Oreochromis niloticus: one gene and its partner. The protein of the gene in region 1 binds, or shares a complex with, the protein of each later gene. Links are inferred from orthologs where the notes say so. Each region holds a gene or a part of one and is shown on either strand. Other genes may lie near its edges. The genes, in order: cyba and rac2.

Region 1 (16,202 bases):
TAATGCTCAGGCTTGATGATATCCAACTTACCCAAGAAGACTTTAATAGGAACTTTTTAACTGAATGTGCTTATTTAACAAATCTGTCATATGGGTTTTGTTTGTTTGTTGACAGCAGACTAACTTTATTTGTTACAAAATAAATAAAGAACATTCATTGTCTAGAGGACATCATAGGGTACCTACCATAAAAAAATATCCAAAGCAACAAATTTGGGAAATCCACTTTAAACACAACTTGATAAAAGACAAGCCATTATGGTATACTTTGCTATACTGCTTTAAGTAAAATATAGAATTCAAAAGAAAAAAAGAAAGAAACTTGAAAACATAACTAAAGAGATTGCTCTCATGCTGCTTCTTGTATCATCAGACCTGGTTTTCCTGATTAGTATCACTTGTGAACACATACCTGCTTTGAAAATGCTTGTACACAATCTTTGGTCTCCCATCTAAGACATTTTCTTGTATGCATGCATTACTAGTTTGAAATATAAACACATTCCAGTTTCATCAAACAATAATTTAACAGTAACTAAGTTACTTTATCAAATTTTCAACATTACCAACATTAAAGTACTGTTTTATTGATGGAATAAAATAAAATGTCTGCCAGTTAGCTGAATGTATAAATAAAATCTGTAATTAATGGTGCTGTCCTGTAAACTTCCAGGAAGGTAATAATCAGCAAGCAGAGGAGGCCAAACAAAGGTACGATGTGTAATTTATCTAAAAAGAAACTACTTTGACTGAGTTTTTCCTGTATACAGTACTTGTACTTGCATAAAGGACTGGGGGTTTTTTTTTGGGGGGGGGACTTGAAAGAACATTTGTGCATGTATTATTTCTTTAGAAAGTACTTTAAAAAACTTTGTTTTAAACAACATGAATCTATTAAGACTAACTGTTCTATAACTTAAGTATCACACTGTTTTTGTAACTGAATGAAAATATTTCCATACAGCAGAAATGTGTATATATAACTTCAACTGAATAAATATATATGTATGTGTGTGTGTATGTATACCTATTTAATTCAGTCTTATTTATATAGCACCAAGTCACAACAACAGTCACCTCAAGGTGCTTAATATTGTAAGGTAAAGAGCCATTACATCAATACGGAGAAATCTCAACAATTAGATGACCCCCTGTGAGCCAGCACTGAAAGTTTTGACATGTATAATAAAACTTTCAGTGTAGCTGACCAACCTAGTATTCTTACTACATTTATATAGAAGCTAAGCAGTATCTTTTGTTTTCTTTTAGCTGGTCTCAGTTGACCAATGTAATCGTTTTCTAATTACAGAGAAACAGAAATGAGGAACTCCATATTGGCTCAAGTTCTAGACCAGTCTGCCCGTGCGAGATGTAAGTGTGGTTTCATATTTATCCTTCATCTTAATAAAACTCCTCTTTGGAAATTAATAGTGCCGTCTCATTGTATTTTATTTTTTTAGTGAGCAATCTTGCCTTGGTGAAGCCAGAAAAGGCAAATGCTGTTGAAAACTATCTCATTCAAATGGCTCGTTTTGGAAAGCTGGGAGGAAAGGTAAGAAAGTACAGACATGGGGAAAAAGTTTTCACAGCGCACTCTGCGATCCTTTGGAAAAACTAGATACAGCCCACCATTCTGTATCTTGTAGAAATCATTTTCTCACAACTTTATTTAGCAATTTCACCCCCACACTTGTTTACAATGTTTCTACAGTTGCTTTGGGTTTGTGCGCATTCATTTATGCACAGGATTTCAATCAGGTTGAGGTCTAGACTGTGACACAGTCTAACCTTGGAGTGAATTTACTGGACAGATGGTGGCAATTTCTTAACACACCTGGATGCTCCAGACCAGCAAGGTGCCAAAACCTCTGCTTTCAGAGGTGGTCACACTTGCTGACGATCATTTAAGTCCTCCTCAGTTCCTGAGGAAGCAGCAAGAGTCTACTTTGTTTTTCACTATGCATTCCTGTCAAAACTCTTTCTTTTTTTTTTCTCAGATGACTTTAACTTTGAATAGTTCTAGCACAACATATTGATTCTTGTATAATGCCAGCAAAGAAATAAACTCATTTCCACTTTTGTCAGATTACAGAATCAGGCTTGATCGAGATCCTAGAAAAAGTCAGTCAACAGACAGAAAAAAAGACAACTGTTACAGTAAGTTTCTCTGAAATGTCACATACATTTGATTTTTTTCCCTGTAATTTATTTGTATTACATTTCTAATATACTTTACCTGACAGTTCAACAGACGGAGGGTGATGGACTCGGATGATGAGGACGACTATTAACTTTCAACAGGAGCTCTGGAATGAGCAACCAAATCGGGAGCAGTTGACATGCTTTGCTGGGACTCTGACAGGATCGCTGACTAGTGTGTTCCTGTTAGCTAAACCCTGAGATGCCACACTAGCTTCTGTGTGTCTTTGGAAACTACCAACCAAGATGGAAAACAAGGACATTTGATATTGCAGCATTTGGCGGGATTGTTCAACACAATGTCAAATAACATTTTCTTTTGTAAACTCTTCAATCAAGATGCTACAAATTTCTACTGCTTATCTGACAGCTCATGACACTGTTTGACTCTCCTAGTCCTTCTCAGTAGTTTCCTTTATTTTCACCATGGTTCATGCATTTTCTTCAAACATTAGAAACTAGTTAAAATGCAGAACATACAGATGTTAATGCATTTTATATGGTCTACTCTGTAATTGCAATCTAGGGCTACTATCCCATTAGATGTTATTCTAGGGTTCTTGTTGCTGATGTGTACCTTCAGGGTTCACATATAAGTTAAATGAGCCTTAAATTGAAATATTTGTTCCTTATTAGTGGACTGTTTCTAAAACTGTCCTTCATCATTTAAATGAGTGTTAAATCTTTTTTTTAAGTTTCCAGTTAGAATTTAACACAAATTGTATTCCACTGACTTGAACATCAAATATCACAACATCAATACACAGTAACATCCCCACCATACAAAGGTAGACTGTCAGTCTATGGATGAGGTGGATGATTGATTCTGGACTTTTTTTGCTTTATAAATAAGTTCACATTTTGACTTTAATTTCAGAAGCAGGAGTTAACAGACTGCCAAATGTATCCAACTACTTTTGAAATAAAATGCATGATGGGGAAATGTGTTTTATATTAATATACTTTACTAAATCTCTAGGAAAGTCTGTCCGAAGTCACTGTAGTCACCATACTGACAGAACTACTTTTATCGGTATCGGTACCAATATTGATGTACAATATAAGAAAGCATTTAATGTACCTAAGTTGTTCATTACGTGTCAAATACAATAACTGAGTACCTTTTCAGCACTGGATGCTGCAGCTTTTCTCTATTTCACAATACTAATTTTCTGTCTCTGAGCAGTTATTAAGATTTATAATTCATATATAAAATTGCGTTGAGTTGAATAAACCTTAACACCGACGATAGGGGTCTGGGTTGGTCTTACGCTTGCCTCATTTTCACACGACCGTGGTCAGATGATTTCCCATTGGCTATTTAGAGTTCAGTACACTCAGTCCGACTCTAATTGGTGCTCGGGTTAGTCACATGTTCATCACTAACCAATCGGGTGAGTCTGCTAGGAAACGCTACAGTAAGGTGCAGGCAGCCACGCTGAGAGTGCTAAACTCGGGGAGAGGTGTTGTACAGTGTGTTTTTAAAACATTCAGGTAGTCTTATTATTGGTTTATATGCAGAGCCATGCCGGAGGAAAGAACTGAGCAGCCACATATAGTTACATGTACCGCTCCAGTGAATATAGCTGTCATTAAATACTGTAAGTATCACCTCGACTTGTGTTTGAGTTAGCATTGTTTTGTTATGGTTGTATCATTTGGACTCAAGGGAAACTGAATCGACAGTGCCTGTGTGTTTAAGTCTGACTGAATATTGGTTATTAAAGGTCTGAATTACTCTCGAGTCTATTTATATTGTATCCTAATATCAGGCTGATGACACCTCGGTTGTGCACTCCGTGTTAAAGCCTTCTTACTTTTCAGGGGGCAAGAGAAATGAAGACTTAATTCTACCCATTAACTCATCTTTGAGCGTCACATTGCATCAAGACCAGGTATGTTAATTAAAACGAAATCCTCACGAAGCCTGTGTCTGTAAAAAAACCCACTCAGCTTTCTCTATGTTTTCTCATTTCGTCGTGTGTCCCTGTCCAGAGCTGCAGAATAACTGTTGCTGTGGCTGTAAGAGTTCACTTAATGGAGCCAAAGTCTCTATAAAATAGACTGTTAAGAGAATATTATTACATAACATTACTGTTAGGATTAGGATTGCCAGCCAAACTTTAAATATTTATCTGGTGTTTTAGTATTATTTGTAGTGTGAACACAGCTATATTAAACTTTACCTGTCAACATCTATTAGATATTCTACTAAAAGAATATTGGGGAAAAAAGTATTGTGACTCTGTGGAAGAAATTCTCTGTTACTCAGATTACAGACAAATAACATCACTTTTGCACTGTCCCGTTAAACTGGGATACACAGACATACACTGTGTTTTGTGCTTTTCACATGTCTCCAGGGTTCACGTTGGACATTATGTTATATTAGTAATAACATACACTACTACATACAGCACCAGTATTTCTCTAGTTTCTCTTTTTCTCTTCTTTGCATGTTTGCTGCTTTTTTGTTCTGTTCTCTGTCAAGTTCTGTCAGTTCTTTGGTCCTTTTTGAAGAACACACTGCACACCCATGATGAGATATGCTTTTGGCAAATAACGCTTTGGGAATCATCTTGTTGGTGCAAAGATAATTTTTTATATTTTATGTACCTTTACCTAAAGAAATAAGGAAAATGTTTTGGAACTGGCTGTTAGTAACAAAGTTCTTAAAGATACAATTTAAAATTGGTTTGGCTAATTTGTCTGTTATGTATGGACATAACACTGGTTCATCCCTTGAGTTAGGTGCCTTTTTTATGCTTGAGTGATTGATAGATCGGTTTTAAGTGGCTTAATAAACAAAAACAGATCTCTCTAAAAGTGGTCAGATACAAGGACTGGACTGAAAATGTGTATAAAAGCATCCAGTGTCCAAAGTAAAACTTTGAAAGAACTTCAGAATTCCTGGAGAACTATTGCTCACGAGCACTCTTAAAAAACTACAAAAAGGTCTGGCTTCTTGGAAACAGAAAAAAGGGAGGGTTGGTTCAAGATTTTTGCACACCACTGTAAATGCAGCTTGATACAGACGTAGCTTCCTTTTTTCTGTTTAGCTGAAAACAACCACTACAGTTGCAACCAGCAGATCATTTCAGGAGGATCGAATATGGCTCAATGGTAAAGAGGAGGACATAACCCATCCCAGACTGCAGTCCTGTCTGAGGGAGAGTGAGTGTTGTGCATTATATTTGTAAAATACAGCAGACAGAAAGGAGTGCATACTACAATGTAGTTTTCTTCTTTCTTTTTTTTTTTGCTTTATACTTAGTTCGACGATTGGCACGGAAAAGGCGTAATGACGGAGACTCTGGCGTGGATTCAGCTAGTTTGTCACACAAAGTCCACATTTGCTCAGTTAACAATTTCCCCACTGCTGCTGGACTCGCCTCTTCAGCAGCTGGATTTGCTTGCCTGGGTGAGCTTGTCTGTGCTATAATTCACTTTTGCTAACATCTCCTTCTCCATCTTTCTTATAGTTGATATTGCTTCACTTAGTCCCAGTGTCTTTTTTTCCCGAATGTTCTGTGGTGCAGTTTACACTCTGGCTCGGGTGTTTGGAGTAGAAGGAGAGTTGTCTGGGATTGCTCGTCAAGGCTCAGGCAGCGCATGCCGGAGCATGTATGGAGGTTTCGTCCAGTGGATCATGGGAAACAAAGAGGATGGGAAGGACAGTTTAGCCCAGCAGGTGGAGCCAGAGACTCACTGGCCTGAGCTCAGAATCCTCGTACTAGTGGTAGGTCTGATTGTGGGTATAGGAGAGTGACACTAAATAAGTGTAAATAATGCTGATGAATTTGCGCTTTTACAAATGCAGGAATGCAAAAGTTACATCGATTTGATGCACTTCTGTCACAGGCCAGTGCAGAGCGGAAGCCAGTTGGCAGCACCTCTGGAATGCAAACCAGTGTAAAAACAAGCTGCCTATTAAAGGTTTGTTCACCCTATACTGCAAATGTCAGAATTTTAATGTATATCGATTGGCATTTTATTTAAACCCAACTCACTAATACAACACATTTCTGACTGTCATACCTGTGTCTGTGTGCGTCTGGGTTAGCACCGCGCTGAATCTGTCGTCCCGGGCCGGATGGTAGAGATGACTGAAGCAATACGAAAAAAGGACTTTGCTGCATTTGCTGAACTAACCATGAAGGATAGTAACCAGTTTCATGCCACCTGCCTCGACACGTACCCCCCTATCTTCTACCTCAATCATGTTTCACAACAGATCATCAGCTTGGTCCATCGTTACAACAAGCATTACGGGGAGACGAGGGTGAGCAGCTTTTACAGTGGTGTTATGGGAGAAATATCTGAGCAGGAACTTTATTCCTTTATACATATTTGTATTTCCATTCACTTAATTACATTTTATTTTATTGTTTTTCCATGAAATTGATTTTTCTTAACCACTCATCCAACTTGGGGTCACAGGTGCCTGTCCCAGCTGATATATGGTAAATGGCCTGTATTTGTATAACGCCTTACTAGTCCCTAAGGACCCCAAAGCGAGAGTTTAGTTTAACAGTGGACACGTTGCCAGTCCATCACTTAACACCATACCACGCTTTCACTGAAATAAAGAAAACTTACATTTCCTCATGGACAGGAAAATCTTCTTCCTTCTGCAATAGTCACATTCTGTTTATTATCTTTACAGGTAGCCTACACTTTTGATGCAGGGCCCAATGCTGTGATCTTCACTTTACAGCAGCATGTTCCTGAGTTTGTGCACGTGGTTCAACATTTCTTTCCCCCAGAAACCAACGGAGCAGAGTAAGTTGAAGGATGTTAAGCTCATTACCTTTAAAATCCTTCCATAGCAATTAATTAATCCTGAAAAATCAACATTTAAATGCAAATATAGATATATACAGTGGAAAGTATTAGGTCTTTTCATGTAATCTAAAACTGATAAATGAGACCTTTTGCCCATTAACCTACTCTGAAATCTGTGAAAGTGAAACTTCTTTTGGTTTGTTAAAAATCAAGAACTGAAATCAGTCGTTACCAGAGTGTTTAAACCCTTTGCTGTTGCATTCAACATTTTGGTCAGGTGCATCCTGTTTGCTTTAATTATCTTTGACACATGTTTACAACATGACTGTGGAAAGCTAAATGATTTAAGCACAGTTTACCAAGGCATGTGCCCGTAAAGAAAGTCTAACAAATCATATTGCATTAAGGCCCGAAGTCCAGGAAACTCTCTACAAACTGACCATAAAACTGTGGTCAAGAACACCATTTCTGAGGTTTTGAGTGTTCCCAAAAGTGCAGTGTACTCAGTAGATTAACATGTCTAAAAGGTATTTACCAGAAGTTACCTTGCCATCTAACCAAAATAAGTGATCAAACAAGAAGGGTCTTATTCAGTGAGACTGCTCTGACTGATCTTCAGAGGTCCTCAAGTTTTGAAAACCTGCTGGAACGACACCCAACTCACTGGTACAATGATCCACACACTTAACTCCCTGGACAGAACACTATTTCTGGCTAATACCAGGCACTGCTTATTATCTTGCTGAAAGCAAGTGAATCAGGGTGCTTGCATACTATTGGGGTATTTCTCCAAAGAAGGGACATGAAGATGGAGGGATGTAAGAATTCAGAAAGGGATCATGAAGATAACCTGCTTCAAATTGCATGCAACCTGAAAACACAGAAATAGCTTGAGCTAGAAACAGCCTGCCTAGAAAAATAAATCTAGAGAAATGTCTATGAAGATCTGAACCTGCAAATGCTGCTAAATGGACATCCACAAAGGACTTAATCTTGCATCTGTGTAATGTTTTACTTTTGTACTTTTGCTTATTAATATTGACCTTCAGTCTCTTTTAAAATGTGTCATTAAGTGCTTCTTTCTTCTCTGCAGCTTTATTAAGGGTCTTCCAGTCAACTGTGCTTCTCTTTCTGAGGAGCTGAAGCAAGGTATTGGTCTGGAACCCATGCCAAAGGGAATAAACTACATAATTAGTACTAAGGTATTCACTCATATTTACCCGCACAAGCAATTACTCCAACTTTGTATTATAGGCTTACTTTAAACAGAAGCTAAAAGATACAGAGGTTTTAGATTTGAATGTCTTGATCCATCTTAACTGCACAAGACTGCAGTGATGTGTCTGCTGTAGGATTGCACGAAGGGTCAGATGTGTCTTTACAAAACCTTTCAACATGCTGTTACGAAACATTGTCTTGCATTGTTCCATTTAACTAGGGCACTGAAAGAGCACAAGAGTTATCTGAATCTTTGACCAGTGAGTGCTTCATTTGAAAAGCTAATGTTTCCTAGAGGCAAGAATAAATGTAAAAATTTAAAGCTCATGAAACATATAATTAATCTGTCGTTTCATCTTCTTGTATTGCCTTCAAGGTTGGACCAGGCCCGTGTGTTGTAGAGGATCCCACTCAGCAGCTGCTTTCATCTGATGGTTTTCCCAAGAAAATGATGTGATTTCCTCCTGCAGCGAGTTCTACTGAGCAATAGGAAAGCCAATGTGACTTAGTTGCATATAACTTTTATCGCAGCAATACCAGACACCTTCCTCACAACAGCAGAAGATGATACATCTCCCTTTAAATTTTTAACTGTCCTGTTTGGTCTCTTTTCTTAACATCATTACTCCTTTGTGCTCTTTCATAGCTTTAATCATTTCTGTGTATCTGCAGGTAAACACTGATACTGCCTTGACTCTCTGGTCGTAAATAAGTGGAAACTCTTGCAGTGAGCAATGCACTGAGTCATAAATACAGATCAGACTGGAGCCCAGAGCTGACCCATTGTTCTGTCTGATCGAATTATTGTGTGTACAGTTTTCTTGTTTCTTCTTGTTAATCACCATTTCCGACCAACAGTGCATATTTAATTCATGTCAATTTTATGGCACACAATAAAATATATTTTGGTCAAGATTTCATTTGTTGTTTATGATTTTTGTCATTCCATCATCTGATTCTCATCCAGATGAGAAAATAATTATCTATTCAATCTCAGAACTTTAAAAGATTAACTCATAATTCTGGTAAAGAAGCAGCAGAAAGGACAGCAAATAATGGAAAAGAAAAAAAAAATCTTTGACAAATTCCGGTAACCTAACAATCACCGCCACAGTCAACAATCAGAGTGTGTATATCTTGCGATAAAGCCGGTCTTTCTTTTCCTTGTGTTACCTGGCAGGAGTTTTCGGTTCTTCCTCTTTCGCTGTAGCGCTGCATTTTTTCGGAAATGACGCTTGAAATAGGGATTGGCTAAGGCAGAACAAGCCTCGCCCTCTGACCTGCCCACCTGCACCCCTCAAATCTCGTAAATACATTTTTCTTCCTTGTAGAAACCATTATCACCGTCGGTAATCCACGCCGGAGGAGCTCCAGGAGGCTGCAGAGCTGCTGTTAGGTTAACATAATGGGGAAGATTGAGTGGGCGATGTGGGCTAATGAGCAGGCTTTGGCGTCGGGTCTAAGTGAGTATGAAAACTTTATTATTATGGAGGGGGGGTATTTAGCACGTTTCTTATTGTCTTATTCGGTTACATGAGCGGTACTTTTAGCCTCTTGTCTAGTTCATTTACAGAGTATTTCTGACAGCATAATAAAGCACAGTTTACCACCTCTGTGTGTGCAGTCTGCAGGAGTGTATTTTTTAAATCTTATCTTCCTGTTTTCTTCTTTCAGTTCTCCTCACAGGAGGGATCGTAGGCGTTGCTGGACAGTTCAGAGGGTGGCAGTTTGCTGCTTATGCAGTGTATCCTTTATTTTCTGTTGTATTTTTTATTGTGTCTGAATTTTGGCTTATTAAGCCTTTTCTATGTTGTAGAAATAATAACATGCTAAATAGGATTTTATTTGTGGGGGTTTTTTTGTTCTTGGGGTTTTTTGTTTTTGTTTATTTTACCAGTAATTTAATGCATACAGGAAGTTCAAATACTTATAACATGTAAATACATTATAGGCTACACAGCTAATACTAGAGCCTTTGGTATTCTAGTCTGTATTGACGTGATAGAACAGGTGATGTGATTCATCTGTCCTCCACTACACCTTAAACAGACTCTGTAGGATTGAGGTGTGGTGATTGTGGAGGCCATTTTAAGTTCAAGAAACCAGTCTGAGACTGCGTAGTGCACTGCCCAAGTGAAATGAGCATTTACAGTGTAGTCATGGAGGGACACATATGCTTATCAACAATACTCAGAAAGGCTGTTACATTCAAATTATACTGAAACAGTAACGATTCTTCAATTGCTACGCCAAATTTTGACCCCACCATCTGAATGCTGCAGAAAGAGGGTCATTGCCAATCAACCAGGCAACATTGTTTTCCAACCAAGCATGCCCATTGTGGGCTCTGTTTCCTTTTCTTAGCTTAGGTCTAAAGCTGCTGATGACCATTTGCTTTTTTTGACAGATTTTGTGCTCAGAGATCCTCCTCTACACAACATGTGATTTTAGTTTTTATTGCATTGCTGCTCGATCAGTGCAGCTATCCCTCTCCTATCTTTATCATCAGGAAGTGTTTTCGCAGCTCATTGGGTGAATTTTCTTTCTCTCTAAGGCTTATTTAAATTATTATATGTCAAAATGCATTTTGTTCCTGCCTCATAAGTGACTGAATTGGTGTTTTTATTGACAAGTAGTTGAACAAGTGTTATTAATACAATGACCGTCAAATGTTTATGATGCATCACACAGTATGTTAAGCACAACTATGCAGCAAGTTAACATCAAACCTGACCAAATGTTCTAGTGTTATGGATTTAACCGACGCTGTGCTTAGCAATGTTCACACTGACATGCAAGAACGTTATTTCTTTTTATTCAATAATGGCAAAAATACAACATGGGAAAGTACTTTCTTTTCTCCCTCAGTAGCTATTCTTATGAAATAATGGAGATATTCTCTTTTGTATTAGGAACAATCCTCTCATTCATTGTTGTCTTTGCCTGCTGAACCTGCTCAGCGTCACCAGTGTTTATCTCAATTTCACTTCTCAGACTTATCTCAGTGAGCATTCTTATCTGACTTCTTTTGGTCCGGTTTAGTTACTGCACTGTGTTTACTGATGATGATATATTGTTTCTGTTTTTGTGTCTGTGTGACACTTTGCATGCAAATAAAGAACATTATTTTAAAGAAAACACCTTGACAGATAACTAGTGCTGCCGGGGTGTTTGTGTGTCTACTTGAGTATCCCAGAAGCAAGAGGGCCAAGGGCACGAGCGTGGAGAGAACGTAAGCAAACACTGTTCGTTTGGATGTGCGCTGGACTTTAATGGACAAGTTCTAAGTCGCTCATCATTGTGTCTTAATTTCTCTCAGGGGCCAGTACTGCTTCACTGTGTGTGTAAAAGCCTTTGGACCACTCACCAGGAACTACTATGTCAGGGCATTTTTACATGCTGCGTGAGTTCATTATCTCAGCCACAGTCTTTGCCAAACAGCATTCCTGTCACTGTCGATTAGTCAAGGATTATGACTTGTTTTCTTTAGTCTTTTGTCTTCAAAATCCATTTGTTTTTGTTTTTGATTGTTTTTATCCTCAGTATCTGTGTACCTGGAGGTTTTATGCTTGCCACTGTTCTTGGATGTGTCTGCCTTGGCATTGCCAGCCTCATCTACCTTGCAGTAAGTTTGCAGCTTTTTAACCTATTTATTTTTCTTCTGTCCAGCAAGTTAAATAACTTTTTGATAAAGTTGTTAACTGAAGCAGGAACTAGCCAGTTGGTGGAAACAAGGAAATAGCAACAAGGAAGAGGTTGTTTCGTTACTGGCACCTCTGTTGAAAGATGGCCGTGTAGTTATGAAATCTGAACAGTTAGGGGTGTGACTGAATTCCTCTACACCTTTGTGGATTTTGAAGCTTTTGAGGTTGCACTGTTTATTTTTACATTCTCTAAACTACTGTGAGAGTCAAAGATAAGAACCAGTAATAATAATCTTCCTGATTTTCAGTAACAGTACAGTAACTTTCAGTCATGCTTAACTTAATCATGCACAAGCCAGTCATTGTTGATTTGTCATCTTCTTGCTTTGTAGGCCGCTATACGAGGCGAGCATTGGGAGCCCATTCTTCCACGGAAGGAGATCCGAAAACCAGTTGGAGAGAGCATCAAGAATCCTCCTCAGAATCCACCACCAAGACCTCCTCCAGAGATGCGCAGGAAACAAGCAGGCGATCTTGAAAAATCAGCCTATGACAACCCCATGTCTGTTACTGATGATGAATAACCAGTATAGTTTCAATCCATAACCAGTTACAGTTGGAGCTCTGGATGAACAAAGTTTTTCTAAAGTTTAGTGTTTCAATTGACCGGGCAACAAGTTAGACACACACCTCCTTACCTCAACTTGGAGAAAAATGTGAGGAATAAATGAAGGAAATAATTTGTTCAATGAAGAAAGAAAAATCAGACAACAGAATATAAATGTAAACACTGTAGCTACTAAGTGTCATCCGCTAGCAATTATTGTCAATTTGTTTTAAGTTGCTCTGCATCCACAATAGTTACACTGTGTTCTTAACCCTTTACGTATTTCTTAAAAAGCAGCTGATTCCAATGCTGTTTAATAGGAATAAATGGATCTGCTGTTTTTGACTGTATCTGGCTGATATTAAGCCATTTATTAAACTTTTTGTTCGCGTTTTCAATGTGTTGTAAATAAACTCTTTTTATCCTTTGACTCATTATGTGTCGTAGGCGTGTTCTTTAAATCTGCATTCTACAAGGTTTCTCTGGTAAATTATTTTAAGCAATGCAACTTCCCCATTTCGCAAACGTACACAATTTCAATATGTCAGAGTTTCCCTTTCTTGTCTCAGCTGTTTCTTCTGTATTTTTGTCACATTGCCATCAATTGTTAGCTTACAATGGAAAAAAAAATCTTAGGATCATTCATTAGGTTTAGGTGCTGGTTGTCAGACAAGTTCTGCATGTATTGTCTTTTGTTACTGCTCAACTTTGTGTGTGTGTGTGTGTCACAGCTGACCTGTCAGGCAGCTGGTTATCGCTATAAATAGACATCTGCTTATGAATAATGCATACTGTCAGATGATAATCCATGGGTTTTGTGGATTCTCTGTGGAAACCACAGTAGTACAGTTGTGCTTCTTCTTTTTAGTTTGGGGCCTAACACCAATGTACAGCATTTGATATATTTAAAAGAGGCATTTTTAATTTATGTGTTGTATATGATCGTTTTTTTAAATAATCATCAAGACAATATGATTCATATTCAAATTAATGTCCTTAAATCTTCGTATTTTCACTTTTTTTATGCGGATAGAAAAGTTGTCTGTCTTGTTTAAAAAGTAGGTTAATTTTGCCACCTCCTGTTCGACGAGAGAACTACAAACAGACTGCAGTGAGAACTTGTGCTGCATGAGATGTTGATTCAAAGGCACAGTAAGACTAGTTTTAAAATAAATTTCGATGATTCATTTGTTATTTTTGAAATTATTTAAAAGAAATTATAAACAACTGAGCTTAATTGTAATGTTCATTTTTTTTAAATGATCAAATAAATGTGGAAAATCTATAGAAACACGTGAGTAAACAAATGTAAAAATAACTTGTGTCCAACTCGTATGAAATTCAGTTACAGGTCTTCCGGCGCCCCCCGTGTGCGGCAGCCTGTTACAGCAGCTCTGCTCATTCTGAGTTTCTTTCTTTCTTATCTTTTCTTATCTTTTCTTCTCATAATTTTTCTATAACTAACGTATTAGTAATTAGACTCTGCAACCATGCACTACCGTTTTGTGCTAGTTCTGGTCGTTTTTCTTAGTTTTTTTCTACTTTTTTCACCCGTGTGTGGAGACCCAGAGCAGGGATCCTTTGTTTACAGTAAGGATCAGCTGTTAGCGCTGCGTCCCGCTGCAGTACTGCCGGCGGACAGACCCGACATTCCCAGCGAGTTGAGGAGGAAAAGACGGGGGTGTCGTGCTGGGAAGGAGCGCCGTCGCCCGAGAAGGAGACGTTATCGACCATCTCTTCCTTCTGTAATTATTGGAAATGTAAGATCTTTGCCCAATAAAATGGATGAGCTAACGTCGCTAACCTGGTCACAGAGGGAGTACCGGCAATGTAGCATCATGATGCTAACGGAGTCGTGGCTAACACCGCTAACTCCGGACACGAGTGTGACACTACCGGGATTCCAGCTGCTGCGAGCGGACAGGACAAGAGACAGCGGTAAGAGGAAAGGAGGGGGACTGGCAGTGTTTGTGAATGACAGATGGTGTAACCCTGGGCACATCACTGTGAAAGAACAACTCTGCAGCAGAGACATTGAGCTGTTAGCTGTTAGCATGCGTCCATACTACCTGCCCCGGGAATTCTCGCATGTTATCGCGATAACAGCGTACGTCCCCCCCTCGGCCAACGCGGATGCAGCCTGTGACACTCTCCACTCAGTGGTCAGCAGACTGCAAACACAATCTCCGAGAGCCCTCCTCATAATATCAGGGGACTTCAATCATGCCTCACTGGACTCCACACTGCCCACCTTCACCCAGTATGTGACCTGCCCAACCAGACACAATAAAACACTGGACTTACTGTATGCCAATGCTGAAGAGGCATACAGTTCATCACCTCTCCCTCCCCTGGGCAGATCTGATCACAACCTGGTGCACCTTGTCCCTGTGTATGAGCCCTTAGTGCGCAGGGAGCCACCAGTCACCCGCACAGTGCAGAGATGGTCGCAGGAGAGCGAGGAGGCTCTTAAGGATTGTTTTGAGTCGACTGTGTGGGAGGTGATCTGTGACGACCACGGAGAGGACATCGACAGCCTTACTACATGCATTACGGACTATATTAATTTCTGTGTGGATAACACCGTACCTACCAGGACTGTACGGTGTTTCTCCAATAACAAACCTTGGATTACCCCAGAAATTAAAGCCGTCCTCAAGCAGAAGAGGAGGGCCTTCAAATCCAAAGACAAAGAGGAGTTGAAAAGGGTGCAGAGAGAGCTGAGGGGACTGATAAGGAATGGGAAGGACAGCTACAGGCAGAAGATGGAGAACCAGCTGCAGCAAAATAACGTCGGTGAAGTCTGGAGAGGCCTCAGAACCATCTCAGGCCACAAACATCAGAACTCTCTGCCTGGGAGGGATGTGAGGTGGGCAAATGAACTGAATCATTTCTTCAACAGATTTGATTCAGCCATGAGGCAGTCTCCAACATCGGCTGCAGACTCACCCTCCCCCACTGCTGCTGTTCCACCTCTGACACCTCAGACACTTCACACCTCCTCTATTCACCCTGCTCACTCCTCCCCACCCCCATCAACAGCATCCAATACACAACCAACACAAGGCTCCAGCCTGTCTCTCTCATCCACCCAGGTTAGGAGGGAACTGAGGAGGATTAATGGCAAGAAGGCAGCGGGTCCAGATGGCATCAGCTCGAGGGTCGTCAGGTCCTGCGCGGACCAACTGTGTGGTGTGATGGAGCACCTCTTCAACCTGAGCCTGAGGCTGGGACGAGTCCCACAGCTCTGGAAAACCTCCTGTGTTGTCCCAGTGCCAAAGACTTCACGCCCCAAGGACCTCAACAGCTACAGGCCGGTGGCTCTGACATCCCACCTGATGAAGACCCTGGAGCGGCTGGTCCTGGCTCAGCTTCGGCGCCTTGTGAGCTCATCACTGGACCCACTTCAGTTTGCCTACCAGCCTGGCATTGGAGCGGATGATGCCGTCATTCACCTCATGCACCGTTCCCTCGTTCACCTGGAGACCGCTGGGAGCACTGTGAGAATCATGTTCTTTGATTTCTCCAGTGCCTTTAACACCATTCTTCCGTCGGTTCTGAAGGACAAGCTGGAGAACTCAGGAGTGGACCATCACCTCACTACCTGGATTTTGGACTACCTCACCGACCGACCGCAGTATGTGAGGACTCAGGGCTGTGTGTCGGACAGGGTCGTCTGCAGTACGGGGGCCCCACAGGGAACGGTTCTGGCTCCGTTCCTCTTCACCATCTACACTGCAGACTTCTCC
Region 2 (16,317 bases), on another chromosome or scaffold:
GAGGTTATACTTTCTCACAGCCATGACTGTACGAGGGTCCTCTTGGGACTGAACAGCCCTTTTCCGACGCCCACAACTGAGCATAATTGAAACATTACTGCACAGCCTCAGAAACAAAAAAGAGGCACCGTTACTATTACCATTTCTATAAATGTTCATGCCAACTCACCATCTGCAGTAGAAACATGTCTAATGATAGCCAGTGTCACTCGCCTTCACATATGCAGGGCCAGGGTTAATATCAAGGTACGGTCAATTTTTAGTAAGGCGCAATTTTTTTTTCTAATTCCTTGTGCACTTTGAATTTTGTCTTTGAGGCCTTATTTGTAGCAGAATAAGTTTGCAAAGCAGCTCCACTGCAGGTCACCGAAGTTGCATCATCTTAAAAGAGCACTGACCTCCTGTTTGGCTTAAAAATGAATCGTTAACAAAAGCGTCATACCATTTGGTGGTTTACCCAACATCCTCTCTCAGCAAATTCCATTTAATTTTCTCTGTATTTGTGTTTTACATAGATAAAGACAAAATTAAACACCTGTTTTTTAGATTTTAGAAAATGAAGAGAGGTTTCTTTAAGAAAAAAACCAACAACAAAGCAACATATTTTTATCATCAGCATAGATGATGAGATGTTATGATAAGCAAAGCAAAGTGTATGAACTCTGTGGTTCCTCAGCAGCATTCAGGCCATACTGAATGTGTAAAACCTTTTTTTTTACATTTATCCTTAGAGAAAATAAATCTTTTTTAGTATATTTAAAGGTAAAAGACTGCTAACTGCCAATACTTCCTGCAGAGATATGTTGTTTGCTGTTAATGATGTGACCACAGCGCTTCCACTTCCCCACCCTTCCTTTACACATCTTGTGCAACAAAGCTGACATGCTTAAATCATCGGAGCCTTTGTTTATGTAATTTAGATACCAAATTACCAATCCGAAAAATAACCGCTGACTTTAAGTTACGTTTTAAAGTAGTTTAGGGATCTTTGCAACTTCCTTTTAAATGTCACAGTCGGTGACGTGTATGTGAATATGAGTCTCTTCCCCATTTCAGCTGCTGAGACCCACAATGTATGACCACAGGGTTAAACAGTGAGAAGTGGTGTATGCTGAAGCGTACACCCATCACTAAAACGTCCCACCAGCTGTTCTCAGCATGCACTGAAAGTTTGCACCAGGAATAGCAGTATTTATTTCTAATGATTTGTCTTCAAATAACAGCTGTTTAGTTAGAAACATGACAGTGTGAAACTTGAAGCTTCTCTATAAAACAGCTGGGTAACTTTTTAAGATCCAATTCATGTCATAAGGTCAAGTGTGTTTATAATAAGAGTATCACACATCAGGAGTATACTAAAAGACAATTATGAAGGTAAATTGCATGAAAGAGCCTTTTAATTTTAAATATCCAGTGACAGTCTCTGAAAATTACACCTACATTGAAATACCAATAATCTAAACGATTCAGTTCTCGGTAAATATTAAATACATAAATACATATTAAAATCAGTAATAAAAAGTCTTACCCATTTGGCAATCAGTCATTTATATCCAAGGATAGAGGGGGAAAAAATCAGTACAAAAACAGCTAAACAAAGTCGATGTATCAAGGTACGCAGGCTGCCTTGGCACACAGTGAATTAACAGCTGAATGAAGTGGATGCTGTCTTTCAACCCCACCTCTTCCCTATCTGTCACAGTACCACTCATACATGAAACCGCAAACAGTCACCCTTCAAAATAAAATGGTTGATAAACGAATCTGTCAGAGATTTAATTTGATCAAAGAGGGTCTTTTTTCATGTTTCATTTCAGGATGCAAGAAGTCAACTTGTCCATTTTTGTTTTTAAACGCATATTAAGAGAAAGAGTCGGGGTAAAACACAGATGTAAAAAAAAAAGAAAAGAAAAGAAAAAAACTACTTTTTTTTCTTTTGCACGGGTTTGTGGACCTGAGATATCTGCAGATATCTTCCACTGATATGTAGTTGAATCTTCGAGTGTTTTCTGTACCTCAAGGCTGTAAAAACTAGCCAGGAGAAGAGTTTGGAAAGCATTACTATCATGTTATCATATGATGAGGTGAGCCACGAAGGCTTGATAGAAATATATTTACCTTTCCGCGGGAAAATGTGACCACAATTACAGGTGACTTTATTTAACTAAAATGTGATACTTTTATTTTGAAGGCTGTGTGGCTTTCCTGCTCTGCTTAACGCAGTGTACTCTCGCTCTCGGGCCGATTTGACAGCTGAAAGCTTGCACTGTTGAAAAGCCAACGAGTAGTTAACGGGTTGAATTTTGCATGTTGCATCCTCCCAAGGTAACCATACACAAATTGAGGTTTTACAGTAGTTTAAACACACTTTGGAAACGGCAGTAAAATTATTCAAGGAACATTAGCAGAAGGAGAAAAGAGCATATGAATATAAAGTCTTCATAATTAAACCTGACATTATAACTATTATAAAAGCGAGGTGTTAATGTGTATTCTGAATAATGTTTTTCTCAAAAAAGTGAGGTAAGAAGTCAAACAAATTTAAGAAAAACAATAGTTTAAATAACTGTGACAGATAAAGGAAGAGCAACTGTGCTGTAGATGCTCAGAGTTTTAAACGTGACAGTCAATAGCAAAAACTGTTGCTAAAGTGCCATCTAGTGGTTGTAGATGAACATCACAAATGCTGTTTTTCTTGCGTGGTTGTGTGAAGTTGTGTTTTTGTCTTGCTTAATGGAAATAGTTCAACATGTGCCGTCATCTTACAGCTTCCTGGAAACAGTATCTTTGGGCCAGGTATTGTTGATCTAATGCTTATAAACATGAAGTACAGACCCATTACAAAGAGTCCTTCTCTCGGACTTTGGTAAAAGAGCATAGAAATATATAATTGGATTCAAATAGATCCAAATATATATAATTTGATTTAGGTCGTATCTCTGAGAAAATCTAGACTGGTTTCAAGCACAGCATTACACAGAAAAAAACCCTTTCAAGAGGTTTTAATGACAGGCTTTTTAACTGTTTGGGGTAACTCGGGGCTCTCTCTGTATATATGATTGCCTTGGGGTCCATTTTTAAAAAGCAGAACTTCTCCTTTCTTTGCCTTGCAGATGATCTGCAAATATATCTGCCTATACGAACCATGTTGCTTCATCACCTGCAAACTGTACACAATGCAGCAGCTTGTCTTTTGAAAGGAAAGAAACAGGATGATTACAACAGCATTGCACCATCACAAGACCCACCTCAAAATGCCATTTTTTATTTTAAGACTACAGTGATGCCGAAAAACTAGTTCATGCTTTTAATACTTCTAGGCTCGACTATTATAATTCTCTCATAGTACTCTTAGGATGTACTAATGATCCAACATGCTTCAGCAGAAATACTGACAGGGACTAGAAAGGGAGAGCGTATTTCTCCCATAATGGCTTCTCTTCATTTGGTACCTGTTGAATCCAGAATTGAATTTAAAATCCTTCTCATCACGTACAAGGTCTTGAATAATCAGGCCCCATCTTATCTTAAAGAGCTCGTAGTATCACCATCGCAATAGAGCACTTTGCTCTCAGACGTCAGGCTTGTGGTTATCTTGTGGATATCTAAAAGTAAACTGGGAGGCAGAGCCTTAAACTTTCAGGCCCTTTTTTCTGTGGAATCAGATCCCAGTTTGGATTTGGAAGACAGACACTGTCTCTACTTTTAAGACTAGGCCTAAAGCCTTCCTTTTTGATAAAACATACAGTTTGGGCTGGATCAGGTGACCCTGAATCCTTTCTTAGTTATGCTACACTAGGCGTAGGCTGCTGGGGGCTTCCACAGTCTTCACTCACTCTCTGTGTTTATACACCTCTCTACATTTAATCATTAGTTATTATTAATATGTCTCTTTTCCATAGCATGTCTTTGTTCTGTCCTCCTCCTCTCACCCCCAACCGCTCTCAGCAGACGGCTGCCCCTCCCAAGTCTAGTTCCACTGGAGTTTTTTTCCTGTTAAAAGGGAGTTTTTCCTACCCACTGTCGCCAGTGTGCTTGCTTATAGGGGAGCCATCTGATTTTTGGGGTTTCTCTGTTTTCTTTGTATTATTCTAAGGACTTTACCTTACAATATAAAGCACATATATATGTAAATAAAACTGCACCTACTGCACCCTACTACTGAACTTTTATAGCCCTACACCCCAACTACATCAATGAGGTCTATGAACCAACTGCTCTTGTACATTCTTAAATGTAGGCTTAAAAACGGGAGGTGAGAGAGCCTTTTTAGTCGTGGCCCCTAATCTTTGGAACAACCTACCTTTTCACATTAGAGATGCCCAGTAACCCAATTATTTTAAAACACCCATAAAAACCTACTTATTCTTGTTGGTACCGTACATCCTGGCTTTTATTGTGCAAGCACAGTCTTGTTTTTTTCTATTATTGTTTTATTTGATGGCATTTTTTAAATTTATTAGAGTTCATGATTTATTGTGTATTTCAGGGCATGTTTATTGTTGATTTGTATTGTTACAAGCTGGAGAACCTAGGAGTGGACCATCACCTCACAACATGGATACTGGACTACCTCACTGACCAATCACAGTATGTGAGAAATCAGGGCTGTGTGTCGGACAGGGTCGTCTGCAGTACGGGGGCCCCACAGGGAACGGTTCTGGCTCCGTTCCTCTTCACCATCTACACTGCAGACTTCTCCCACAACTCCACCCAGTGCTTCCTGCAGAAGTTCTCTGTTGACTCTGCAATAGTCGGCCTCATCACTGATGGGGACGACAAGGAGTACAGAGAACTGACCCATGGCTTTGTGGACTGGTGCCAGCAGAACTACCTCCAGATCAATGCCAGTAAAACCAAGGAGCTGGTGGTAGACTTCCGCAGGCACAAACATCCTCCACTGCAACCACTGAACATTCAAGGTATGGACATTGAGGCTGTGGACAGCTACAGGTACCTTGGTGTTCATCTGAACAATAAATTGGACTGGACCTACAATTCAGACGCCCTCTACTGAAAAGGGCAGAGCAGACTGTACCTGCTGTAGAGACTCAGGTCTTTTGGAGTGGAGGGCCCACTCCTGAAGACCTTCTATGACTCTGTGGTGGCCTCAGCCACCTTTTACGGTGTGGTCTGCTGGGCTGGCAACATCTCTGCTGGGGACAGGAAGAGACTGAACAGGCTGATCCGAAGGGCCAGCTCTGTTCTAGGATGCCCTCTGGACCCAGTGGAGGTGGTGAGTGACAGGAGAATGGTTACCAAGCTCTCATCCCTGTTAGACAACATCTCCCACCCCATGCAGGAGACTCTGACAGCACTGAGCAGCTCCTTCAGTGGCAGGCTGTGCAATTCTCTTTTTCTGACAACATTGTATTTTACTCAGTTATAGTATGTGTATTCTATTTCTATTCTATTGTATATAGTATTTTATTCTATTCTATTCTATTGTGTACAGTATTTTTATTCTCATTCTTTTGGAGATTATGTATCTGAATCTCAGGAGCAGGACCACACCTCCAAACACACTCCTTCTGGCTCTCATCTATATACAGTAGGTTCCCCCAGTTCTGCAAGCTGATCATTCTCGTTTACGTGCCCCACCCTCCCTCCTTGTGCTCCATTCTTTAACTTCTTTGCTTCTATTTAGTACATGGAGATCTGCCAGGCCCAGGAGCCATCGCCAGTCCCCTTTGAGGCCTTCCCCAAACCGCAGCTCAATTCATGTCAAAGCATTCACCTTTACCTACTAAAACGCTGTCAAACCTAAAATGAGGACGTGGGCCCAGCTAGTGAAATTATCTTATTCTATTCCAGTGTTTTTCTAATTTTTGCAATGTAACTTTACACTGTCCACTTTCTGCTTTTTTTTTTTTTTTTTTTTTTTTTTTTTTTTTTTTTTTTTTGTCTGTCCCATTTGGTTCTTAAGCCGTCAGAATTGTTGTCTGAAGACCAACAAGGATACCAAATGGATTTATTTTGCCAAATGGATCATCATGGCATTGCCGTATTGGTCCATTTGATCGAACTTTGTTGTTATTATTTATTTTATTTTCAGTTGTTACAGATGGGACAGACATGACGGGGGGATAGGAAAGGGAGAAAGAAAGAGAGGAAGGAAAAGAAAAACAGAAGGGAAAAGGGACAGTGAGAAAGGGCACTTACAAAGACAAAGAGAAAGAAAAAAAAAATCTCCTGGATCACCTGTTGAGAGAAAAAGAAGAGAAGACAAGCAAAAAAAAAAAACAAACAAAAACAAAACAACATACTAAACACAACACCATCACGTTAATCTAGCTGAGTGTGAACAGCAGTAAATACTAAATATTGAAAGTTGTTGTGCAGCACGCAGGACAGACAGCGCACAATGTGCTTTGAAGTAGCAGCTAAGAAAGGTGTAGTTTATGTCTACGAACAGTGAACACCCGTGTGCACACCTGTGTGGATCAACGCGCTTGTATACAAAAGGTTTTCCCATGTAACGGTCTGCTAGAGGGTGCGGAGGGCCATAGCCCCGTCCCCCAGGGCATGAAGCAGGCATGGAGGAGATCCAGGCTCCAGACATCCAGAGGACCCAGAGTGTGAGAGCCCAAGGAGTACCACCGGAGGGGCATCCGTGCCACCTTCCTGGGAAGGGCTGAGGAGATCCCCAGACGAGGGGGTCACCCAGTAGCCACGGAGCAGAAGCCAGAGGGGGCTGCACCGGCGTGCCCGCCGGCTCTGCCGGCAGCCAGCTGTGCCAGAGTGAACCGAGTTGCAGGCCCCGAGGCCGGAGGCCCGAGGGCCCCCTTTGCCCCGGAAGAGGCCTGACCGAGCGACAGGCATCGGGCCCCGCCAAGTAGCCACCGGGAGTGAGCCGGTGCATACCTGAGCGCCCAGCCCCGGACACCAAGAACCACCAATGCACCAACCCCTGAGGGCATCAGTTACCAGCAGGGAGTGTGGTGAGGGGAGATAGGCCTCCACACTTGGAGGGCCTGGGAGTACCCAGGGAGGTGGAGTCTAAGACCCGACCTGACATATAGACACAGACAAACAGGCACACACAGACATAAACATGCTTTCCCACCCTCATGCACACATATACAAACACTCAGCACTTACCCAACGTAGGGACAGACATACATAGACATGTACACACAATCATACTCCCCAAACATACTCTATGCCCTGGGTCCAGGTACCCTCGCTCCCAGAGGGGGAAACGGCACCCAGACCCAAGAGATGTGACCCTTTTCCCCGGGGTGGAGGCAAGCAGACCGCCCCAGGCTCCGCAGCAGCAGGGAGGCCAATCGGACAGCCAACACCTCCTCCCAGCCCCCCACCCCGATGGCTAGTAGAGAACGGGGGTGTGTGAAGACCCCATACCTCCCTCCTCCCGCTCATGTGTAGTGTTGCTGCGTGTTGTTCTAAAGTGCATTTAAAACAAGGGAGGGCATGGTGCTGCTGCCAGAGAGCAGCAGGTGTTAGCACGGCCCCTCCCGAGAACCCTCAATGTCTACATGGATTTAAAATTGAGAGGTGGGCACCGGCGCCAGAGGTAGGGTTGAATACACAGACCGTCCTCTGTATTTATTCTTATTTTATTTTATTCTAATTTTTGCTTCATAACTTTTGCACTGTCCACTTTCTGCTTTAACAAAACAAATTTCCCACACGTGGGACTAATAAAGGTCATCTTATCTTATCTTATCTTATCTTATCTTATCTTATCTTATCTTATGTATATTTTGTATAGCATTCATGTGCATTACTTGTTGTTTTAAGTCTTTATAAAAGTAAAGTTTGACTTGATTAGATGCATGTCTTTGGACTGTGAGGAGAGGTGGGAGTGCCCATGCATACATTAGGACAGCATTTAGGATGCACACAGAGGGACCACAGCTGGATTTAAATCCAGGATCGTATTGCTGTCACACAATAGTGCTGACCACTGCACCACCATGCTGTTCCTTTTAAATTTACAGACACATAACTTGAAGTTAACCGACAATAAACTTTTATTTGCAGGTGGTTACTTGTATCACTCACACTGTGAGGACATAAATGTGTTTCATAGTATCAGGAGTGCACCAGGAGTGATAACAAGGTTTAATGTTGTTTTAAGATCACCATTAGACACATACTGCAGAAAACACCAGGAAGTGAATGTGAGTCAGTGTCAGGTTGTGTAAACCAAGGGAAATGTAACCGCGCGTGTGAGTGCATGTCTTTAATTAATGAGGTTTACGGAATTCAATTTTTTTTCATAGCAAAATGAAATTTGAGGTAAATTAATTTTAGCTTCCGTATGTTCCGGACATGCTGGTCTGCATTGAATGGTAAATGCCCAACAGTAGAGGAAGTTTTAAATAAAGCTCTTATTGTTAGCAGAACCTTCCTCTTTGTGGCCATTTCACAGCTTCTTCTCTGTTGCAACCGAGACTGCTTTTCAACACCCTTCACATTAATTTTTTTATGGGTGTCTTATTGGTATTGGTAGCTTTTCAGCTTAAGGTCTGTTGTTTGAAAGAAGAAAAAAACAAAACAGGAAGAAGGAGATGAGTGCAAAAATGAAGGGAGAGAGGCTGAGTAAGAAAAAAAGAGGCAGCAAAAGAAGGGGGAGGGAGGTGTGCAACAATTTCCTGTAGTTGCATGCTCTTCAGCGTCTCTCAGCCTTCCTCTCTGAGTCTGTTTCTTTCAGAGTGAAGAGCACAGACGAAGCTGAGCGGAACAGGATGCAGGCTATCAAATGTGTGGTCGTGGGAGATGGGTATGCTATTATTTTACTAATTTTAACCAGTGTGTTATAAATTAAAGAGGCCTTCAAGCTTTGAATTACACAGTGGTCGCCCAGCTGACGTGTAAATGGGGATTGGCCCCAGGCTCTGAATTTCAGGGTAATCAGATAGAGCTGTCAAAGGTTGTCACATGGTAGGAGCAACAGTTTGACCCACTACAGCAAGATTGCTGTTCGGTTCAGCGTAAAAGCGTAAAAGAAACTTCTGTACTTGTGTTTTATGTCCAGTGTTAACATGTAGATCTTAAGGTGTGTGTTTGACAGCGGTGATTCACACTGAGCGCGCTGGATGAGCCATGCAGGCCACAACATGCAGGAAAATGCTTTAAGGCAGCAGAACTCCTCTTCAAAGATGAAAATCCGATAGATGCCACAAAGATCAGTTCAGAAAATACAAACAAAGTGGGAGAAAAGTATGACTAAAAAAAGAAGAGGCAATAAAGAAGCAGAAGCTCAAATGTGTAAATGATTAACCTCATTGTGTTTTTGACATCTGAAAAGTTGTTGAATTTATTTGCCCTAAAGGGTGAAATGTGCTCGCGTAAGAAGTTTGGATGAGCCACCGTCTGCCATCAAATGCGTCTTTCGTTGAAGGTGGGGCAAAATGGCTGGCTGTCAAAGTGAAGGAAATTGTAAAGCGGAAGTCCTACAGTTGTTTCTCAAAAATAGTTCAGTAAACACTTTAACACAGACAGTTAACCATCCAGAGGTAGCACACAGGTACTGCAGTGTGTGTGCAGAGCTTCCTGGTGTGTGACACTGATTTAAAAAATTGCAGAGAGAGAGAAGCCGTAACAGTGACGCGTGTAAATATTTGGAAAGGGAATCATGTGGTGTTGGCTCTATTTCATTTAGCATGCAACATTTACATAAAACCTTTTTTTTTATTGAAAGCCTTTGATTGTCAGCTACTAAAAAGACCTCACATGAAAAATAACAGTTCAAGTGATTTAAACAAATGCAAAACATGATTTAAAATTTGACATTAAAAAAAAAAATAATTGTGTGTTTTCTCTAACATTTTTTGTAGTGTTCAAATATGCGTCAGCTTGAGAACTCTATGAAAGGAGCAAATGTATACATATATATATATATATTTGAATTTATGAAGGCACCTTCATTGTTATGGTTACAGTGACAAGTGACAATGGTTACAGTGACTACTACAGAATATAGAATAAATAGATAATTAAATAACAGTCATAATTAATCAAAAAAAGCATCAATTGTTGGCTGTCAACAGGAAACCAACAGTAGTCAGGTTTTATGTTAACCAACATATTCATACTTTGATAAATTTCTTGTTTTGTTTAAATAACTTGTATTGTTATTTTTCTTAAGAAGCTGTTTTTTAGTAGCTGCCAACCAAAAGCTTCCATTAAAAAAGGTTTTATGTAATTTAAGTGTCCTAAAGTAAATAAAGACAGTTCACTAAAAATAAGTGACAAAACATGTAAAGCAAAAAAAATAAGCAATAATAAGTCGCAGTTTCTGACGTGAATATAAGCTGCTACAATAAGCACTGCAGAGGTAAACAAGCTGAACTTTTTGTAGATCTTATTTCATTACTTTTGACTCCACTCCAGAACTTGACCTAGATTTCAGTTCCACCTTTATTACTTGTTTCTTTACAACTAGTGCTGTGTACAAACTAGTACTGCAAATATGACGATACCAAGTAAATACAGGGCCAGTACTGCGGATACCAATACTCACACTTTTAACCTATAATAGTTTATATAGGGAAGTGCAGTGCGTCACGACTTATGAGACATTATTAGGGACATTATTAATTTGCAAATTCTGAACACATTTTAATGATTTTTACTTTCCACAATAATTAGATAAAACAACAAAACACACCTTTTAGTTTCTCATGAATTTTCAAACTGGGTTTTTCAGAGACCCAGAATTTAATGTTCATGTCTCAAAAGCACTTTGGGTCAGCTTCTGTTGTTTGAATGTTCTATAGGGTATAAATAAAATAGACTTGCAGTCAACACAAAAAGGTTTAGACGTTTTTTAATATGTTGTTTAAGGAATATTATGCTATGTGCAAAAGAAATAATTTATTTAACAGATTCAATGGACTACAGACTTAACTTAAAGCACTGAATCAATCTGATACCAATATCTGTGTTGGTATCAATATTTGGATTAATTCGTCCACCTCTATTAAAAACACAACACCAAGACAAAGGCAGTCGGTTCACTTCAGTGGATTACACAAGCAGGAGGAAGTCATTCTTTCTCTTTAAAAGAAAAATTGAGAAGAGCTTGGAGATGTGCCCAGTTTTACACCTGTGGCCACATGAATAAAAGGAAATATTGTGAAAAGGTTTTCAAAATGTTGCCTTTTGAAATATTTGAAAGATACATTGCAAATAACCCAGCCAGCCCTTTTGAAAGTCTATGTATCATTTTTATGTGACAGCCAGAAAGCTAATGATGGTGGTGGTAATTTTCACATTGATTTCTCATTTTTTAACCTCTGCTAGGCGCTAACAGTGTATATATAGATACATACGCACAGTAGTTAAACTTAACTGCTGATGGAGAAGAGGAAGTCGGTTTCATGTTGTAGGGAAGTCCGCTGCAAGAGTCGTGGTATTTACAGTTTAACAGCACAAGCATTTAAAAGGCTTTTAAAATCTTCACTGGCTCAACAATAACTGGCAAATCTTCATGTGACATTATAGCAGACAATCAGTCATATCTCTGATTACGTTTTAAAGATTTTTATCTCGAGTATAAACACAGTACATTTCAGCAAAAAGTAAAATAACTTCATGAAATAAGAAATTTGCAAGCTGTCTTGACACTTGCGATGATCTTTGGCATAAGTAGAGAATTTGGAGCTGAGGATGCAATCAGAGCTCATCAGCTGTGTTGGAAAATCCATTTTCCTTAACTAACTCCAAAAAAGGAGACGTTGTTGAACAACAATGTGAATGATTTAAGCACATGGTTTAATTAGCAGCCAAGTTAATGAACATCCTACAGTCTGATGATTGTATCATTAAAACCTTACAAAATAAATGGGTTACTTTAAAGGTAAATGGGCCAGCAGGTTATAAATGTTAAATTAAATCTAACACTAGAAAGAAAAGAAATTTGGAGAGCCACACCACAGCTAATTGTATTGTACATAATCTGACAGGTTTTCAAGATAGTCCTTGAAAAGTAGAGATGAAGGCAGCTAACTTACTGTTTCAAACAAAGCATCATTAATGTGCCTGAACTGAAATAAAATGAAGTTTCTGTCTTTTGTGTTTCTTATAGCGAAGTTGCTTTTTCTCAGAAAAAGCTAACATTCTGTTGCTATCTGCTGGCAGGTCAGTTAAGGACTTATATGTATACATATTCACTTCCCTCTACAAGTGTATATAAACATTTCTGAAACTTTCATGGGTGTATAAGCAGTAGCTAGTTGTGGTGGTTGAAGCTGACCTCTGTCAGGAAATTGTCTGCTGCTGCTGTTTTCATGCCTGAAGTCAAAATGGCGGATGTTAGAAAGTGGCTCATGGTGCCGTCACATTCCTAAAACTCAGAGAAAGGTAATTTACCACAACTGTTTGCTGCACATATACACTCATATATATTGGCTGCATAAGACTTTTTTAAGGACTTGCGAGCAGAGAGTTGGACTTCTTGGGTATATTAGACGTTCTCTTGCATGTCTTTTATCCTGTCTTCCTTCTCTCACCTGGCAGATGGCCCCGCCCCTCCCTGAGCCTGGTTCTGCTGGAGGTTTCTTCCTGTTAAAAGGGAGTTTTTCCTTCCCACTGTCACCAAAGTGTTTGCTCATAGGGGGCCACATGATTGCTGGGTTTTTCTCTGTATGTATTATTGTAGGGTCCACCTTACAATATAAAGTGCCTTGAGGCAGCTGTTGTTTTGATTTCACGCTGTATAAATAAAATTTTATTTAATTGAATTCTCCTGCTAAAGTGAGTGCTGAGTTAGCAGTTATACGACTACTAAAGCACAACAGTTATACAGCTACAGATATAATTATTTGTAAAATACAGTAAACCTAATGAGTAACAAAAAAGTCAAGCCCCCTTTGAGACATTAAAGTTTACTCAGTTTTATTTTTTCTTACATGCAGCTGTAGAGCTATGCAGCTAGCTAACTGACACCATTTGGCCTCAGTCTGGTTGAAACCATTCATCACCATTTATTGACGTTTTATTCTTTTTAGATGGGACCAAAAGAAATGAAATGTCACAATAGGTTAAAACGATAGGATAAAACATGTTCATGGAAAAGCAGATTATGAAGCAGATAGAGAGAGATGCGAGGCAGAAATCTTTTTTTCTTTTTTTTGATAGCTCGGTGTGGCTAGTTCCTGTTTTCAGCTCAAACCGATGCTTCTGAAACAGCGCGGTTCCTTTTTGACTCACACACGACCACAAAGCACACACATGTAATGCTATACTTATGAGAGCTTTTAATGGCATTATTTAATGTGTGACCCACATCCCTGACTCAACCTCTGCATTTGACCTAAACCCTGTTTTAACCTTAACAGTGAGTCTAAATCTTAAACCCACAGGAGCCTTTGGAAAAAGTTACAAACTGACAAAATTTCATCAGACTTGACCTCTAAAGCTCAGACTTGTCCTCACAGAGATAGAAATGCTCACACGCACTCTGACAGCTTTTATAGCTGTTATCTGCGTTGCTCATATCACTACTGAGTCATCTCGTCAGCAGGGCTGGTCTTTTTAAAATGCTAACTTTTGGAATGACTGTCATTTTGTAGTTTCTATGTCATGCTTTTTTTTCTAGTCAGAACATATTTAGATTTTATAATTAATAAAAAATAAAATTAACCAGCTACATAGTATAAAAGTTTGTTGTTGTTGTTGTTTATTACAAATGTTTGTGCTGAAAAACACTAAAATATATACTCATTACACTTGTACTATAACAGCAGCCATGAAAGTAAAGAAACGTGCTAACAAGTGTACCCACAGTGGAAGCGTCAGTTGATAATGATGATGTGTCATCCCTTCCATATTTTTGTATAACAACTTTTAATAATATACAATATAATAATACTTAAAATAACCAAAAAATATTTTGTATAAGAGAAATATGCCAACATTTTATTTGATTTACATATTAAACATAAAAAGTTTTTGGGGGGAGACAATGGGGGAAGCTCAATTTCTTCTAGATAATAGTTCAAAGTTCCACAAAAGTATTAATCTTATTGTGGGATTTTAAAATGTTTCTATTGTGTTAATCTGGTTTGAGTAAAAGGTGGGAGTATATGAGAGTTCTGAGCAAAACCATCGAGAGGACCAGTACAAACCTGCTTTATTTGATAAACGCTTGTACGTCACAAATGTCTTGTATGGCACAGAGTCACAGGCAGACTGAGAAAAAGGACGAGCCGATGGGTTCCTTGCAGACTGGATTTGCTTGGTTATTTATGTAAGCAAAAAAAAGGTTATTTATCAATAAGTGTGATAAAGACCGATCCAATCAGGGATTCTGATCTCCGTCTGTCAGATAAGAGACTCTACAGAATTCTGTTTGATGAAAGCAAAAAGGCTGTAGCCACTCCTATTAGCTTATGACCAATCAGATGTATCCAGAGTGTAATCAACATGAAATATGAGTGCTGCGGTGAAACCAGGGCTCGAGTTCTGTGTGCTGCTGTTAAAATGCTGGCAGCAAATCTGTGGAAACTAAATAAGAAGCAGGCTAGTCGATACTTGCTGGATCACCTTGCAGGCAGCCATGCAGTTTCATCACTGTGGATGTTGGGACAAGCTGAACACAGATCACTGACTTTCTGCAAATTAGAAACACAAAAACGCTGTTTACAGATGTCAGCGTGTCCATGAAATCTGTATTTGTTGAATGTGTTATTTTTGACCGTGACAGTATTTTCGAACAATGACGTCAACAAAGGAACTGGGCGAGTTGCTCACAGAATAAATATACTGCACTTCCAGAAAAACTTTAAACTTGGAGTGTGACTGATGTGTATAGGCGTGCATGTTGCATCATCTCCTGTTGTACAATATATATATATGTATATATATATATATACAGTATAGTAACATTTACTGTCTCTTGTGGGGGTTTTTGTCATTGCCTATGTCTCTTTCCTGACATCTCTGTGTTTTTACTTGTGTTATCCAGAGCTGTGGGTAAAACATGTCTTCTCATCAGCTACACAACCAATGCCTTCCCTGGAGAGTACATTCCTACTGTGTGAGTACTACAAACACACATCTACACACACAGAAATACAGACATAAACACTCTCGCGGTCTCTCTGTGAGGCTCCTACAGGTACATGCACATGTCTTCATGGTACACATGATCAGTCGTGCACTGTGTCAGGACACACGGACAAATATTATAGAGAAGATGCACACATGTGCTGCAGTCCAACTGGAAATGTCTGACTGTAACACAGGCAGGTTTGGGCTGGCAGCAGCCTGCAGGTTATTAAAACATATTTGTGCTTCAAAGCGTGTTTGATCAAAAGTCAGCTGCTTTCTGCACACGGTGAAAGAAAAGAAGAAAGAAGCAAGATGGGCTTTTCTTTTCTTTTTAACAATAAATATTGTTGACAATATTCCTAACAGCGCTGGAACTGAACAAGTCAAGTATTAGAGTGTTGTATGTCCATGCAACATAATACTTTCACTACATTTTAAATGGAAATTTGAACAGTTTTATGCAAAATTCAGCTAAATATGAATCTAATATGTGAAGCATTTTTAAATGTATTGTTTTTATATAAGCTAACCTTCTCCATGGTAAATGTTAAAAAAAAGATAACAATATTACTCGATTAGCAACTGTTTTCCAAATCCAATCTGATCCTTTTTCCTGTATACATTTATTTATTTGTATTTATTTATTGAATATTTCCTGTTTATTGTAAATAGTCTTGAGGTTTGGGCAATTGGTTTAAAACACTATACAACCTTTCTGGCCGTTTTTGGCCATTAAGTCTCATTTTTGCTTGCTATTTCTGCAGTTTTATAAACCAAAAGAAATTAAAAGGTTTAAGTGGCAAATTAATAATTAGCACAATCTCTAATGTAAACAGTCAGAAATTTAAGCCCTACACAGAATATGCAGGACGTTTGAATATTGAAATAAATATTGAAAGAAAAAAATGAATGCAGTATCAGCACTTTTACTTCAGCAAAAAATTGAATGCTTCTTCCACCAGTGGGTGCTGGTGCCTAAATGAAAAAATAAAACCTTATAAAAGAATACAGTCCACAAATATTACATGTAAGCCATATTAGAATGAAGGCAATAAAAGATCTAGGGAAGCATAATAAATGATTATTACACAGGTTATGATAAACCTCAGATCTTCAATGATGTAATGCTGCACTCTGCAACATGAAGGACCAGAATTTCATGAAAATGACTAAGAGTCAACACATTTACACATTTACTTCTTCAGGTGCAACTGGAAGCCCAGAAATATAAACACCAACACTGAGAAATTACACTGTTATGCTTATTTGTGACCACACGAGGGCAGCCCTGCC

Evidence for each region.
Region 2: cyba (region 1) and rac2 share a complex: the UniProt entries of both Homo sapiens proteins name them as parts of the phagocyte NADPH oxidase complex. The link is inferred for Oreochromis niloticus from reciprocal best matches to the Homo sapiens genes CYBA and RAC2.

What each region holds. Positions count from the first base shown.
Region 1 is NC_031965.2:23,052,165-23,068,366, forward strand, and holds cyba (cytochrome b-245 light chain), read left to right. Parts: upstream 1-9,455; 5' UTR 9,456-9,607; coding exon 9,608-9,665; intron 9,666-9,876; coding exon 9,877-9,946; intron 9,947-11,359; coding exon 11,360-11,434; intron 11,435-11,521; coding exon 11,522-11,605; intron 11,606-11,745; coding exon 11,746-11,827; intron 11,828-12,238; coding exon 12,239-12,430; 3' UTR 12,431-12,888; downstream 12,889-16,202. Other genes in the region: pdcd5 (programmed cell death protein 5), read left to right, coding at 674-711, 1,310-1,371, 1,461-1,552, 2,086-2,157, 2,244-2,291; mvda (diphosphomevalonate decarboxylase), read left to right, coding at 3,725-3,800, 4,024-4,094, 5,259-5,373, 5,474-5,620, 5,739-5,938, 6,061-6,135, 6,263-6,481, 6,866-6,981 and 2 more. UniProt on the Homo sapiens protein: Subunit of NADPH oxidase complexes that is required for the NADPH oxidase activity that generates, in various cell types, superoxide from molecular oxygen utilizing NADPH as an electron donor.
Region 2 is NC_031971.2:8,478,049-8,494,365, forward strand, and holds the start of rac2 (ras-related C3 botulinum toxin substrate 2), read left to right. Parts: upstream 1-8,594; 5' UTR 8,595-8,714; coding exon 8,715-8,749; intron 8,750-14,938; coding exon 14,939-15,010; intron 15,011-16,317. Other genes in the region: cyth4b (cytohesin 4b), read right to left, coding at 1,529-1,547. UniProt on the Homo sapiens protein: Plasma membrane-associated small GTPase which cycles between an active GTP-bound and inactive GDP-bound state.